Linked DNA regions of Arabidopsis thaliana. The protein of the gene in region 1 interacts with the protein of each later gene in a pairwise test. Each region holds a gene or a part of one and is shown in the gene's direction. Other genes may lie near its edges.

The links. Proteins that work in one complex are often made in the same cells at the same time.
Region 2: the proteins of TGA6 (region 1) and GRX480 interact in binary tests that used the Arabidopsis thaliana proteins (3 or more experiments, as listed by UniProt).
Region 3: the proteins of TGA6 (region 1) and NPR1 interact in binary tests that used the Arabidopsis thaliana proteins (3 or more experiments, as listed by UniProt).

The regions. Positions count from the first base shown.
Region 1 is NC_003074.8:3,904,566-3,909,094, forward strand, and holds TGA6 (TGACG motif-binding factor 6), read left to right. Parts: upstream 1-1,785; coding exon 1,786-1,851; exon of another isoform or gene 1,852-1,885; coding exon 1,886-1,960; exon of another isoform or gene 1,961-2,007; coding exon of another isoform or gene 2,008-2,055; coding exon 2,056-2,127; intron 2,128-2,218; coding exon 2,219-2,278; intron 2,279-2,402; coding exon 2,403-2,480; intron 2,481-2,813; coding exon 2,814-2,865; exon of another isoform or gene 2,866-3,114; intron 3,115-3,154; coding exon 3,155-3,426; exon of another isoform or gene 3,427-3,500; coding exon 3,501-3,746; intron 3,747-3,871; coding exon 3,872-4,018; downstream 4,019-4,529. Other genes in the region: SCPL15 (serine carboxypeptidase-like 15), read right to left, coding at 1-131, 220-353.
Region 2 is NC_003070.9:10,012,916-10,016,089, reverse strand, and holds GRX480 (Thioredoxin superfamily protein), read left to right. Parts: upstream 1-1,833; 5' UTR 1,834-2,042; coding exon 2,043-2,456; 3' UTR 2,457-2,656; downstream 2,657-3,174. UniProt on the Arabidopsis thaliana protein: Has a glutathione-disulfide oxidoreductase activity in the presence of NADPH and glutathione reductase. Reduces low molecular weight disulfides and proteins.
Region 3 is NC_003070.9:23,852,230-23,857,516, reverse strand, and holds NPR1 (regulatory protein (NPR1)), read left to right. Parts: upstream 1-1,858; 5' UTR 1,859-2,109; coding exon 2,110-2,670; intron 2,671-2,749; coding exon 2,750-3,485; intron 3,486-3,593; coding exon 3,594-3,797; intron 3,798-3,907; coding exon 3,908-4,188; 3' UTR 4,189-4,769; downstream 4,770-5,287. Other genes in the region: AT1G64290 (F-box protein-like protein), read left to right, coding at 1-123. UniProt on the Arabidopsis thaliana protein: Salicylic acid (SA)-binding substrate-specific adapter of an E3 ubiquitin-protein ligase complex (CUL3-RBX1-BTB) which mediates the ubiquitination and subsequent proteasomal degradation of target proteins.

The DNA.
Region 1 (4,529 bases):
GACCAGAGAAAGAAGAGCAGCCAGGTCCTCCAGTTAACCAGACAAGAAGAGGGTCTTCTTCTGGATTGTTCTCAGATTTGATGAAGTAGTAGAACAGTTGATCTTCCTCTTTTTGACCAACACCAATATACCTTCATTATGTAACTCTAAAACTCAGAACACAGCGTCATACATACATTATAGGGGTAATATGGAAATGAAAATGCAGAGGAAAAGAACCCGGTTTCGAGCTCGAATGGAAGAGGGCCTTCAAAACCAGGAAGATATCTGATGATAGAACTTGAATCAGCATGTTGAATCAACACAAGCACACATTGCAGCAGCAGCAGCAACTTGAATATCCAGGAAGCCATTCTTGTTTTAGTTTTTGAGTTTTAACATTTTTTATATATACTCAAAACTCAAAAGCAGAGGCGTTGACCCAAAACAAAGATGGAATCTTTTCGGTTGAGTATGGTTCTATAAACCGGTCAATTGCAATATCTATACCCGAGACAATTCGGGTTAGTCTCTCTAACCAGTTCCAATTAATCTGTTTAGTTTTCCTTTGGATGTAAAGGTGTTTAGAGTTTGTTTTCTCCTTCAATTACCAACTGCCAACTGGTTAACGAATTGAAATTGAGGGTTTGAGCTGAAAACACTTGGGCACTTGACGTGAGAATGTACGTGGAAGGCCAGAAGGGACAAAGTCCCATGTAAAATGCTTTGCAGGTTATTTTATTGCACATGACATAGGACAAATTATTGTTTAATGATTTCAGCATTGCCTAGAAAACCGGACCGGTTGACAGTTTGAACCGGTTCAATAAATTTGTATGGGGTAATATTTGTAAAGCTAAGACTATAGAGTTCGTTAGGGGTAACAAGAATAGTATGGGGGGTTAGTTTGCAAATTCCCGTTAAATTTGTCGATGTTTCTTTTTGGGATGGTGGGTTTGTAGACAAATCGACGTCTCAGAGATTGTAATTACGGATCGTGTCTCTGCTGCTTCTTCTTCTTTCAATCCGATTTCGGACAACCTTTTACTCAGACAGGAGATTTCAGTTTTTTTCAGGTGAGCTTCTTGCTTTCTGCAACTCAAGCTCTTTTGTTTTTTGGGTTTTGTTTCTTTCCTTTTTCTTTTCTTTTTCTTTTGTTTGAAGTTTCCTCCTTCTTTGTTTTACTTTAGTCATTGGAAAGCTTACTTTTTCTCACTTTGTGATTTGCCTTTGGAAATTAAGACTTAGTTGACTTTCAGAAGCTTATAAAGTTTCAAGTTTTTTTTGTTCATTTGATGACGTTTTCAGCAACCAAATTCCATCGAATTATCTTGATGAATCCTTATGGATTTCAAATGTTAGTATGCTTTGAATTTCATGTGTCTGTTGAATTCTGTTAAGAGTCATAGATTTTGAATCCTTGGTGATGAGTTATTGGTTTGAGTGATCAGCTGCTATAAGCTTAGTTCTCGCTTGTGTTATAAGCTTAGTTCTCGCTTGTGTTAGATTTTGAATCCGCTGTTTTGTTTCAGTCCATGTTAGTACTTGAACCGTTGTCTTGCAGTGTGACTTAAGCTGGTTTCCGTGAGCCAATAACTTGATACTTGTGAGTGTGCCCAAATTCCAAACTGATGCAGTTCTCTCTCTCTGCTATCTGTTAATTTCTTTCATAATCATCTTTTCTCTTTCCTCTTGGCAGCTTTTCCTCCCTCTAGTGTGAAACTCTGCACCAGAGGTGAAAGGTTATCATTGCAAAAGGGAGCACAAGTGGATAGTGTTTGCTCAAGTATTAGTACAGAAACTAGTATGGCTGATACCAGTTCAAGGACTGATGTCTCAACTGATGGTGACACAGATCATAGAGATCTGGGGGTTAGCTCGTAATCTGGCTCTAATCATTTTATAGTTTTATTATCTCTACAATGTCACTCCTGGGAGGCTTGTACCGGAATCCCTTGGTAAAACTTGGGGCATTCTACCGGTATAGCCAAATCCACAGGACTAGTCATTTGCTTATGTTCATCAAACATGCATAGTTTGAATGAAACAGTAATTCCTGATGTTGATTACATGCAGTCTGATAGAGGGCATATGCATGCTGCTGCCTCTGATTCCAGTGATCGATCAAAGGATAAGTTGGATCAAAAGGTGATAGATTCATCTCTGTGGATCAACTAGCATCTGTGTATATTACGCATATGCATAATCTGTTTTGTTTCCTTTTCGTTTTGATCCATAGACCCTTCGTAGGCTTGCTCAAAATCGTGAGGCAGCAAGAAAAAGCAGATTGAGGAAGAAGGTATGTATATTTTGCTTTTGTTCTTGTTTTGATTTTTCTTATATATTCCTCTTATTTCCTTGTAATATCTCTAGAAGAATATCTATCTGTCATTACCTTAAGCATGTTATTGTTTCCTCCATAGGCGTATGTTCAGCAGCTGGAGAATAGTCGATTAAAGCTGACTCAACTTGAGCAGGAGCTGCAAAGAGCAAGACAGCAGGTTTATTAACTTTCTTATTTGTTTTGATTCTGATATGTATGTCTTTATAAAGAAGATAAAAGGCTGAAGCTACTTCAACTTATAACTAACAGTCAGTTACGAGTTAGTACTAGTCTTGGGTTAGCTGAAGTAGAGGAGGTAACAGAATTATGGGTCATCCATAGTTTAGTTGGGTAAAAGTAGCTGGTAACTCTCTCGAAATAGGTCCTTCTGGTCTGTTTATTCGGATGTTGATGGCATACAGAGAATTTCTATTCTGGTTCTTATCAGATTCTTTGTCATGACTCATGACAGTGTATTTGTCACTTAAGGATATATATTTTTCAATTTTAGGGAGTTTTCATCTCAAGTTCAGGAGACCAAGCTCATTCTACTGGTGGCAATGGTGGGTTGTTTCTTCTCTGTTAGTTTTGAGATTGATCCTTTTGATTTGAAATTTCTATGTGAGATAAGTGCATATATACATATATGTTGATGAATTGGTGATAGCATAAGTCATCTCATGGCAATATGCTTACACTTGTTAGAGTTAATGGTTTCAAGAGTCAGTGATGATCTGGATGGGAAATTAAAGTCATGGTGATGTCAAAACTGAAGTTTCTTATAGTTTGCGCTGGTGTTAGCTTAGGTCTGCAAGGGTTTGTTCTTGATCTAGTATACTTGCCTTTCTGCAGGGGCTTTGGCATTTGATGCAGAACACTCACGATGGCTTGAAGAAAAGAACAGGCAAATGAACGAGCTGAGATCTGCCCTGAATGCTCATGCAGGTGATACTGAGCTCCGGATAATTGTGGATGGAGTGATGGCTCACTATGAGGAGCTTTTCAGGATTAAGAGCAATGCAGCTAAGAATGATGTCTTCCACTTGTTATCTGGAATGTGGAAAACACCAGCTGAGCGATGTTTCTTGTGGCTTGGCGGGTTCCGCTCATCCGAACTTCTCAAGGTAAGCTCTTTCCAAGTCCATAGAGAGATTTTGATGAACAGCCAACTTAATGAGTCGCAGTGTTTTCACAACAGCTTCTTGCGAATCAGCTAGAGCCCATGACAGAACGACAGGTAATGGGCATCAATAGCTTGCAGCAGACGTCGCAGCAGGCAGAAGATGCTTTATCTCAAGGGATGGAGAGTTTACAGCAATCCCTAGCTGATACTTTATCCAGTGGAACTCTTGGTTCCAGTTCATCGGATAATGTCGCGAGCTACATGGGTCAGATGGCCATGGCAATGGGGCAGTTAGGCACCCTCGAAGGATTCATACGCCAGGTACTTTAGAAATGTGGATGTTATCGAGATATACCATATCTTTTCATCGTCACAAAGAGATAAATATTTTATTTTATATATGAATCCGTCTGTTATGGAGTTCATAGGGCATTTCTTGGTGGCAGGCTGATAACTTGAGGCTGCAAACACTACAACAGATGCTTCGAGTATTAACAACACGTCAGTCAGCTCGTGCTCTTCTTGCTATACACGATTATTCATCTCGATTACGTGCTCTTAGTTCCTTGTGGCTTGCCCGGCCAAGAGAGTGAAACAGAAGAATAGTGCTCTACTCAGCAGTCAGCCCTATACATAATCTTATGACTCAGATCGGCAGGGATACTCCTTCCAAGAGATCGATCACAAAGCAAGGCATTCTCAGATTCTTACCAAAAGCAATATTTTGGGAAAGAAGACTGCAGGTTTTGAAATTGGTTTCCTGAGGTCCGCAAGACTCGAGTGTTGTGTGTGTTGTAATTTTTAGCCATCAGGTTGCATAGTTTTATAGAGTGAATGTTTATAGGTCTTTGAATATTCAAAGCGGATAGGTGATCAGTGTAAGGTCGCAATTACCAACATGACAGAAGATGGGATCCTTTCAGGAACTTGGATTGTATGATCATAAACTCCAGCAGACCAAATCAATTTATATTGAGAGTTCAAAAAAGAGAGCAGATTGTGTATCTTGAAATCATAGCAAGATTGCCCAGTAAACACTGTCACACATAAAGCTTACAGAGGTTTGGCTAATACTATGTATAACCAACCTGAGTCAGAGAAAAT
Region 2 (3,174 bases), on another chromosome or scaffold:
TAACGACAAGGATCAATGCGAAAGGAGAATTGATGTAAGAGGAAAATTGAAGAAGCTTCCTTACCTGTGAAGGAATTAATCGAAAGGTGACGCGACGGAGAACAAACGACGGTGAAGTAAAAGAGATTCCGGCGTGAGATTCGTCTCTCTTACATAGCAAAACGCATCACCTGCGGTTGGCTTTGAGATTCGCTGAAAGTTTATTTTTGGGCTACTGGAGAATCTTATAAAGCCCAATAAGAGACCACAGAGCCCAATAAGTTATTACAAATCTACGACAGTATTAATAAAGACCATTTTCTACGTTACAAAATTTTGATTATTAACTGTTATAGAAAATGGTTATATTGAAACGCATATTTGGCATTTGTTATAGAAGAAAGAAACCACTCTTGCTGAGTTTTTGTTGGTTAAAGCGTGACCTAAGTCTGTCTATTGAGAAGATTCATAGTCCATGAAAAATCCGATGCTACTATAAATGATTGTTTACTAATCCTAGAAACCAAAAACAAATAATTGTTTTCTCAATTCAAAAATTGTATGGTAAAATTTTAGGGTTTACACATTTAAGATTTTAAGTGTTATAGATTTCCGGTGCACAGAAGAATGGTATATATTGTGAGTTTGTGATTAGTTTTGTTATGCAAACTTCTCACGTTAGGCAACTGTAAATATAATATCTCCAACAAAGCGGTCATGCAATTTGTTTTGTTGAAAATTTGTATATTTTACTAGCGGTCATGAATTTTTAAATCCCCCACACTCTATTTTTTAAAATATTTTTAACGTTTTGGGACCATGATGGATGTTGAACTTTCATTTCAGGATTTGGTGGAACGATAAAATTGGAAAGGCTTTGGAGTTTGGAACCTGAAGAACTTATAAAGTTAAAGGATGACACGTGACTTTAATAAAGAAATGCAATTCCCATAATCATATAATAGTCCAAATTTAGGAAGAAATGGGTGACATGAGTTTTAAAGAAGAAAGACGTCATGATTCCATTAAAACAAACCAAATTAGTTGGTGGCTTGGTGCTGACGTCTACCGACTTTTCCACCGTCCATCCTTCGACGATGGTTCTTTCTAAATGACCTTCTCAGTTTTTTCCTGTCATGCGTATTATTATTATTAGTTAATAAGGCTCCACTACTACTCGGAAAGTCCGAGTACAAATAATATGACAATAATGTCAAACTTATTCTTAGTATTGGTTTAAAAGAAGGATTCAACAAGAGTACTTAATCACGTCTCATAATTACCACTTTCATCCAAACATGGTCATTACTATATGACATGATCGTGTTACATTAATTTGGAAAGTAGTATATGTCTTTTTCCTAAAAGTTTATGTTTAGATTTTTGATCACTAAGAATATAATGTCATATATATTATTAACCTTTACACCTAAATGTTATATTAATTACTTGAATGATAAAACGGAAAATATCGAAAGTTTAGGCTAGGTCTCTCTAGCATCTCTAGTGTATTTATTTAGCAATCCCAAAACAAAATTGTGTTTTCTACAATTTTAGTATTAGATTACCAAAATTGTTGTATATAGTCTGGTGATTCCGTTTTGATGGTCGAGATCGAAAGAAGCAAGCATCCACTATGTGGTCGTCACATGCGAATATTTCTAAGTATACAACCATCTATCGAAAGTTTCGAAACAACCCAAATATAATAGTAATAAATTCTGAGAATTCTCCTATTTTTTATTGATATGAAAAAAGCAGTAAAATATTATGTAAAGTAGAGAGGAACCAAAATTAAAACGTGCAGATTTATTAAAAGAATAAAGTGGGATCCAAAAAGTCAGCGTGAAACATGTGATACGATATAACGACACGGTCCTATGACTAAGTCCACTCCAATCCAGTGACGTAAACAGCACCATCACCCATAGCTTCCTGTGACGCACATCCTTACGTAACCATCGTTGACGCTAGACTTTCCTCTCTGATCTCTCTTTCTTCATGTATATATAACAAAACCTTCCTTTCCTAATTGGTATCTATCTTTAAAAACATACTTGAAAATGCAAGGAACGATTTCTTGTGCAAGAAATTATAACATGACGACAACCGTCGGGGAATCTCTGCGGCCGCTATCGCTTAAAACGCAGGGAAACGGCGAGAGAGTTCGGATGGTGGTGGAGGAGAACGCGGTGATTGTGATTGGACGGAGAGGATGTTGCATGTGTCATGTGGTGAGGAGGCTGCTTCTTGGACTTGGAGTGAATCCGGCGGTCCTTGAGATTGATGAGGAGAGGGAAGATGAAGTTTTGAGTGAGTTGGAGAATATTGGAGTTCAAGGCGGCGGAGGTACGGTGAAGTTACCGGCGGTTTATGTAGGAGGGAGGTTGTTTGGAGGGTTAGATAGGGTTATGGCTACTCATATCTCCGGTGAGTTAGTTCCAATTCTTAAGGAAGTTGGGGCTCTGTGGTTGTGATTGTAAATTAATAATTTAAAATTATTTTTTTTTCTTTTAATTAAGAATCTTGATTGGTAATTGTTGTTTACGGTTTATAATTGAATCGTTTCATATATATGTATATAAAGAAATAAATAAAAGAAAAGTCTCAAGTTGAAATTTGCTAGAGATTGTACCCAATAATTTTATAGCATTCATTGTGCTCTGTTTTGATAGTACTCGTTTTTTTTTGTCATCAGATTTTATATAGATTCATTTTTTTTTTTATGGTATTCATGTTTTGATGGTACTCATTGTATCATTCGTTTTAGGCATCTACTCTTCTAAGTGAGATAGAAATTAATGGATCTGTTTGTTTAAAAGATTTATCAACCTTTTGTGAAACGGAAAGAATTTATTACTGTGTTAGACTGTTAGGTGATAGTGATTTAAATGTGACCTTAATGCTCTTGTTTGGGGTACGTGGTAGTTTATCAGATTTGAATATTCACAAATGCCAAAATATGAGAGATCCTTTAGATTGAGGTGAAAAATGTGGGAGGGATGGAAGATATCACTCCAATTGGTATGTTTCCACTATGATGCACAAAGTGGAGACGGCGCGGCAAAAAGTGGAGACCAATGAAACGTTAACCTTTAGAGCTGGAAGCATTTTACTGCTGGCCCGAGCCATAAACGGCAAAGAGCATAGAACCCTCAATTACAGACACCACCCAAGTCACATGCAAGCGGTTCT
Region 3 (5,287 bases), on another chromosome or scaffold:
GAGAAGTTGAATTTAGTTTATGCAAAAAAAGAGGGATCTGATTGTTCTTTCGTTTGTTTTCCGTTTTGTTCTGATTACGAGAGGGTTGATCTGAACGGAAGAAGCAACGGGCCGACACTTTAAAAAAAAAATAAAAAAAATGGGCCGACAAATGCAAACGTAGTTGACAAGGATCTCAAGTCTCAAGTCTCAATTGGCTCGCTCATTGTGGGGCATAAATATATCTAGTGATGTTTAATTGTTTTTTATAAGGTAAAAAGGAATATTGAATTTTGTTTCTTAGGTTTATGTAATAATACCAAACATTGTTTTATGAATATTTAATCTGATTTTTTGGCTAGTTATTTTATTATATCAAGGGTTCCTGTTTATAGTTGAAAACAGTTACTGTATAGAAAATAGTGTCCCAATTTTCTCTCTTAAATAATATATTAGTTAATAAAAGATATTTTAATATATTAGATATACAATAATATCTAAAGCAACACATATTTAGACACAACACGTAATATCTTACTATTGTTTACATATATTTATAGCTTACCAATATAACCCGTATCTATGTTTTATAAGCTTTTATACAATATATGTACGGTATGCTGTCCACGTATATATATTCTCCAAAAAAAACGCATGGTACACAAAATTTATTAAATATTTGGCAATTGGGTGTTTATCTAAAGTTTATCACAATATTTATCAACTATAATAGATGGTAGAAGATAAAAAAATTATATCAGATTGATTCAATTAAATTTTATAATATATCATTTTAAAAAATTAATTAAAAGAAAACTATTTCATAAAATTGTTCAAAAGATAATTAGTAAAATTAATTAAATATGTGATGCTATTGAGTTATAGAGAGTTATTGTAAATTTACTTAAAATCATACAAATCTTATCCTAATTTAACTTATCATTTAAGAAATACAAAAGTAAAAAACGCGGAAAGCAATAATTTATTTACCTTATTATAACTCCTATATAAAGTACTCTGTTTATTCAACATAATCTTACGTTGTTGTATTCATAGGCATCTTTAACCTATCTTTTCATTTTCTGATCTCGATCGTTTTCGATCCAACAAAATGAGTCTACCGGTGAGGAACCAAGAGGTGATTATGCAGATTCCTTCTTCTTCTCAGTTTCCAGCAACATCGAGTCCGGAAAACACCAATCAAGTGAAGGATGAGCCAAATTTGTTTAGACGTGTTATGAATTTGCTTTTACGTCGTAGTTATTGAAAAAGCTGATTTATCGCATGATTCAGAACGAGAAGTTGAAGGCAAATAACTAAAGAAGTCTTTTATATGTATACAATAATTGTTTTTAAATCAAATCCTAATTAAAAAAATATATTCATTATGACTTTCATGTTTTTAATGTAATTTATTCCTATATCTATAATGATTTTGTTGTGAAGAGCGTTTTCATTTGCTATAGAACAAGGAGAATAGTTCCAGGAAATATTCGACTTGATTTAATTATAGTGTAAACATGCTGAACACTGAAAATTACTTTTTCAATAAACGAAAAATATAATATACATTACAAAACTTATGTGAATAAAGCATGAAACTTAATATACGTTCCCTTTATCATTTTACTTCAAAGAAAATAAACAGAAATGTAACTTTCACATGTAAATCTAATTCTTAAATTTAAAAAATAATATTTATATATTTATATGAAAATAACGAACCGGATGAAAAATAAATTTTATATATTTATATCATCTCCAAATCTAGTTTGGTTCAGGGGCTTACCGAACCGGATTGAACTTCTCATATACAAAAATTAGCAACACAAAATGTCTCCGGTATAAATACTAACATTTATAACCCGAACCGGTTTAGCTTCCTGTTATATCTTTTTAAAAAAGATCTCTGACAAAGATTCCTTTCCTGGAAATTTACCGGTTTTGGTGAAATGTAAACCGTGGGACGAGGATGCTTCTTCATATCTCACCACCACTCTCGTTGACTTGACTTGGCTCTGCTCGTCAATGGTTATCTTCGATCTTTAACCAAATCCAGTTGATAAGGTCTCTTCGTTGATTAGCAGAGATCTCTTTAATTTGTGAATTTCAATTCATCGGAACCTGTTGATGGACACCACCATTGATGGATTCGCCGATTCTTATGAAATCAGCAGCACTAGTTTCGTCGCTACCGATAACACCGACTCCTCTATTGTTTATCTGGCCGCCGAACAAGTACTCACCGGACCTGATGTATCTGCTCTGCAATTGCTCTCCAACAGCTTCGAATCCGTCTTTGACTCGCCGGATGATTTCTACAGCGACGCTAAGCTTGTTCTCTCCGACGGCCGGGAAGTTTCTTTCCACCGGTGCGTTTTGTCAGCGAGAAGCTCTTTCTTCAAGAGCGCTTTAGCCGCCGCTAAGAAGGAGAAAGACTCCAACAACACCGCCGCCGTGAAGCTCGAGCTTAAGGAGATTGCCAAGGATTACGAAGTCGGTTTCGATTCGGTTGTGACTGTTTTGGCTTATGTTTACAGCAGCAGAGTGAGACCGCCGCCTAAAGGAGTTTCTGAATGCGCAGACGAGAATTGCTGCCACGTGGCTTGCCGGCCGGCGGTGGATTTCATGTTGGAGGTTCTCTATTTGGCTTTCATCTTCAAGATCCCTGAATTAATTACTCTCTATCAGGTAAAACACCATCTGCATTAAGCTATGGTTACACATTCATGAATATGTTCTTACTTGAGTACTTGTATTTGTATTTCAGAGGCACTTATTGGACGTTGTAGACAAAGTTGTTATAGAGGACACATTGGTTATACTCAAGCTTGCTAATATATGTGGTAAAGCTTGTATGAAGCTATTGGATAGATGTAAAGAGATTATTGTCAAGTCTAATGTAGATATGGTTAGTCTTGAAAAGTCATTGCCGGAAGAGCTTGTTAAAGAGATAATTGATAGACGTAAAGAGCTTGGTTTGGAGGTACCTAAAGTAAAGAAACATGTCTCGAATGTACATAAGGCACTTGACTCGGATGATATTGAGTTAGTCAAGTTGCTTTTGAAAGAGGATCACACCAATCTAGATGATGCGTGTGCTCTTCATTTCGCTGTTGCATATTGCAATGTGAAGACCGCAACAGATCTTTTAAAACTTGATCTTGCCGATGTCAACCATAGGAATCCGAGGGGATATACGGTGCTTCATGTTGCTGCGATGCGGAAGGAGCCACAATTGATACTATCTCTATTGGAAAAAGGTGCAAGTGCATCAGAAGCAACTTTGGAAGGTAGAACCGCACTCATGATCGCAAAACAAGCCACTATGGCGGTTGAATGTAATAATATCCCGGAGCAATGCAAGCATTCTCTCAAAGGCCGACTATGTGTAGAAATACTAGAGCAAGAAGACAAACGAGAACAAATTCCTAGAGATGTTCCTCCCTCTTTTGCAGTGGCGGCCGATGAATTGAAGATGACGCTGCTCGATCTTGAAAATAGAGGTATCTATCAAGTCTTATTTCTTATATGTTTGAATTAAATTTATGTCCTCTCTATTAGGAAACTGAGTGAACTAATGATAACTATTCTTTGTGTCGTCCACTGTTTAGTTGCACTTGCTCAACGTCTTTTTCCAACGGAAGCACAAGCTGCAATGGAGATCGCCGAAATGAAGGGAACATGTGAGTTCATAGTGACTAGCCTCGAGCCTGACCGTCTCACTGGTACGAAGAGAACATCACCGGGTGTAAAGATAGCACCTTTCAGAATCCTAGAAGAGCATCAAAGTAGACTAAAAGCGCTTTCTAAAACCGGTATGGATTCTCACCCACTTCATCGGACTCCTTATCACAAAAAACAAAACTAAATGATCTTTAAACATGGTTTTGTTACTTGCTGTCTGACCTTGTTTTTTTATCATCAGTGGAACTCGGGAAACGATTCTTCCCGCGCTGTTCGGCAGTGCTCGACCAGATTATGAACTGTGAGGACTTGACTCAACTGGCTTGCGGAGAAGACGACACTGCTGAGAAACGACTACAAAAGAAGCAAAGGTACATGGAAATACAAGAGACACTAAAGAAGGCCTTTAGTGAGGACAATTTGGAATTAGGAAATTCGTCCCTGACAGATTCGACTTCTTCCACATCGAAATCAACCGGTGGAAAGAGGTCTAACCGTAAACTCTCTCATCGTCGTCGGTGAGACTCTTGCCTCTTAGTGTAATTTTTGCTGTACCATATAATTCTGTTTTCATGATGACTGTAACTGTTTATGTCTATCGTTGGCGTCATATAGTTTCGCTCTTCGTTTTGCATCCTGTGTATTATTGCTGCAGGTGTGCTTCAAACAAATGTTGTAACAATTTGAACCAATGGTATACAGATTTGTAATATATATTTATGTACATCAACAATAACCCATGATGGTGTTACAGAGTTGCTAGAATCAAAGTGTGAAATAATGTCAAATTGTTCATCTGTTGGATATTTTCCACCAAGAACCAAAAGAATATTCAAGTTCCCTGAACTTCTGGCAACATTCATGTTATATGTATCTTCCTAATTCTTCCTTTAACCTTTTGTAACTCGAATTACACAGCAAGTTAGTTTCAGGTCTAGAGATAAGAGAACACTGAGTGGGCGTGTAAGGTGCATTCTCCTAGTCAGCTCCATTGCATCCAACATTTGTGAATGACACAAGTTAACAATCCTTTGCACCATTTCTGGGTGCATACATGGAAACTTCTTCGATTGAAACTTCCCACATGTGCAGGTGCGTTCGCTGTCACTGATAGACCAAGAGACTGAAAGCTTTCACAAATTGCCCTCAAATCTTCTGTTTCTATCGTCATGACTCCATATCTCCGACCACTGGTCATGAGCCAGAGCCCACTGATTTTGAGGGAATTGGGCTAACCATTTCCGAGCTTCTGAGTCCTTCTTTTTGATGTCCTTTATGTAGGAATCAAATTCTTCCTTCTGACTTGTGGATCCAGCCTGCTTCACAAGGCTCACCAGGTTGTAGTCTCCAAAAATATCATGGAATTGTAAGCAAAAACAATCCAGACAGAACCTGTGATAGACCCAAGGTTCTTGCCACAGTGATCCGGGTTCGTTAATAACAGCAACTATGTCCGGGTGAGGACTGGAGACGAGGCAAACGTCTTTCCTTTGTGTTACCTTCTCTCTGATATTAGTGAGAAACCAACGCCAACTATCAGTGGACACTTCTTTGGTAAGCGGAAAGGCAAGCGGGAAAAAGCAATCATCAGCGTCGAGTCCTGAGGAAATCATCAATTTCA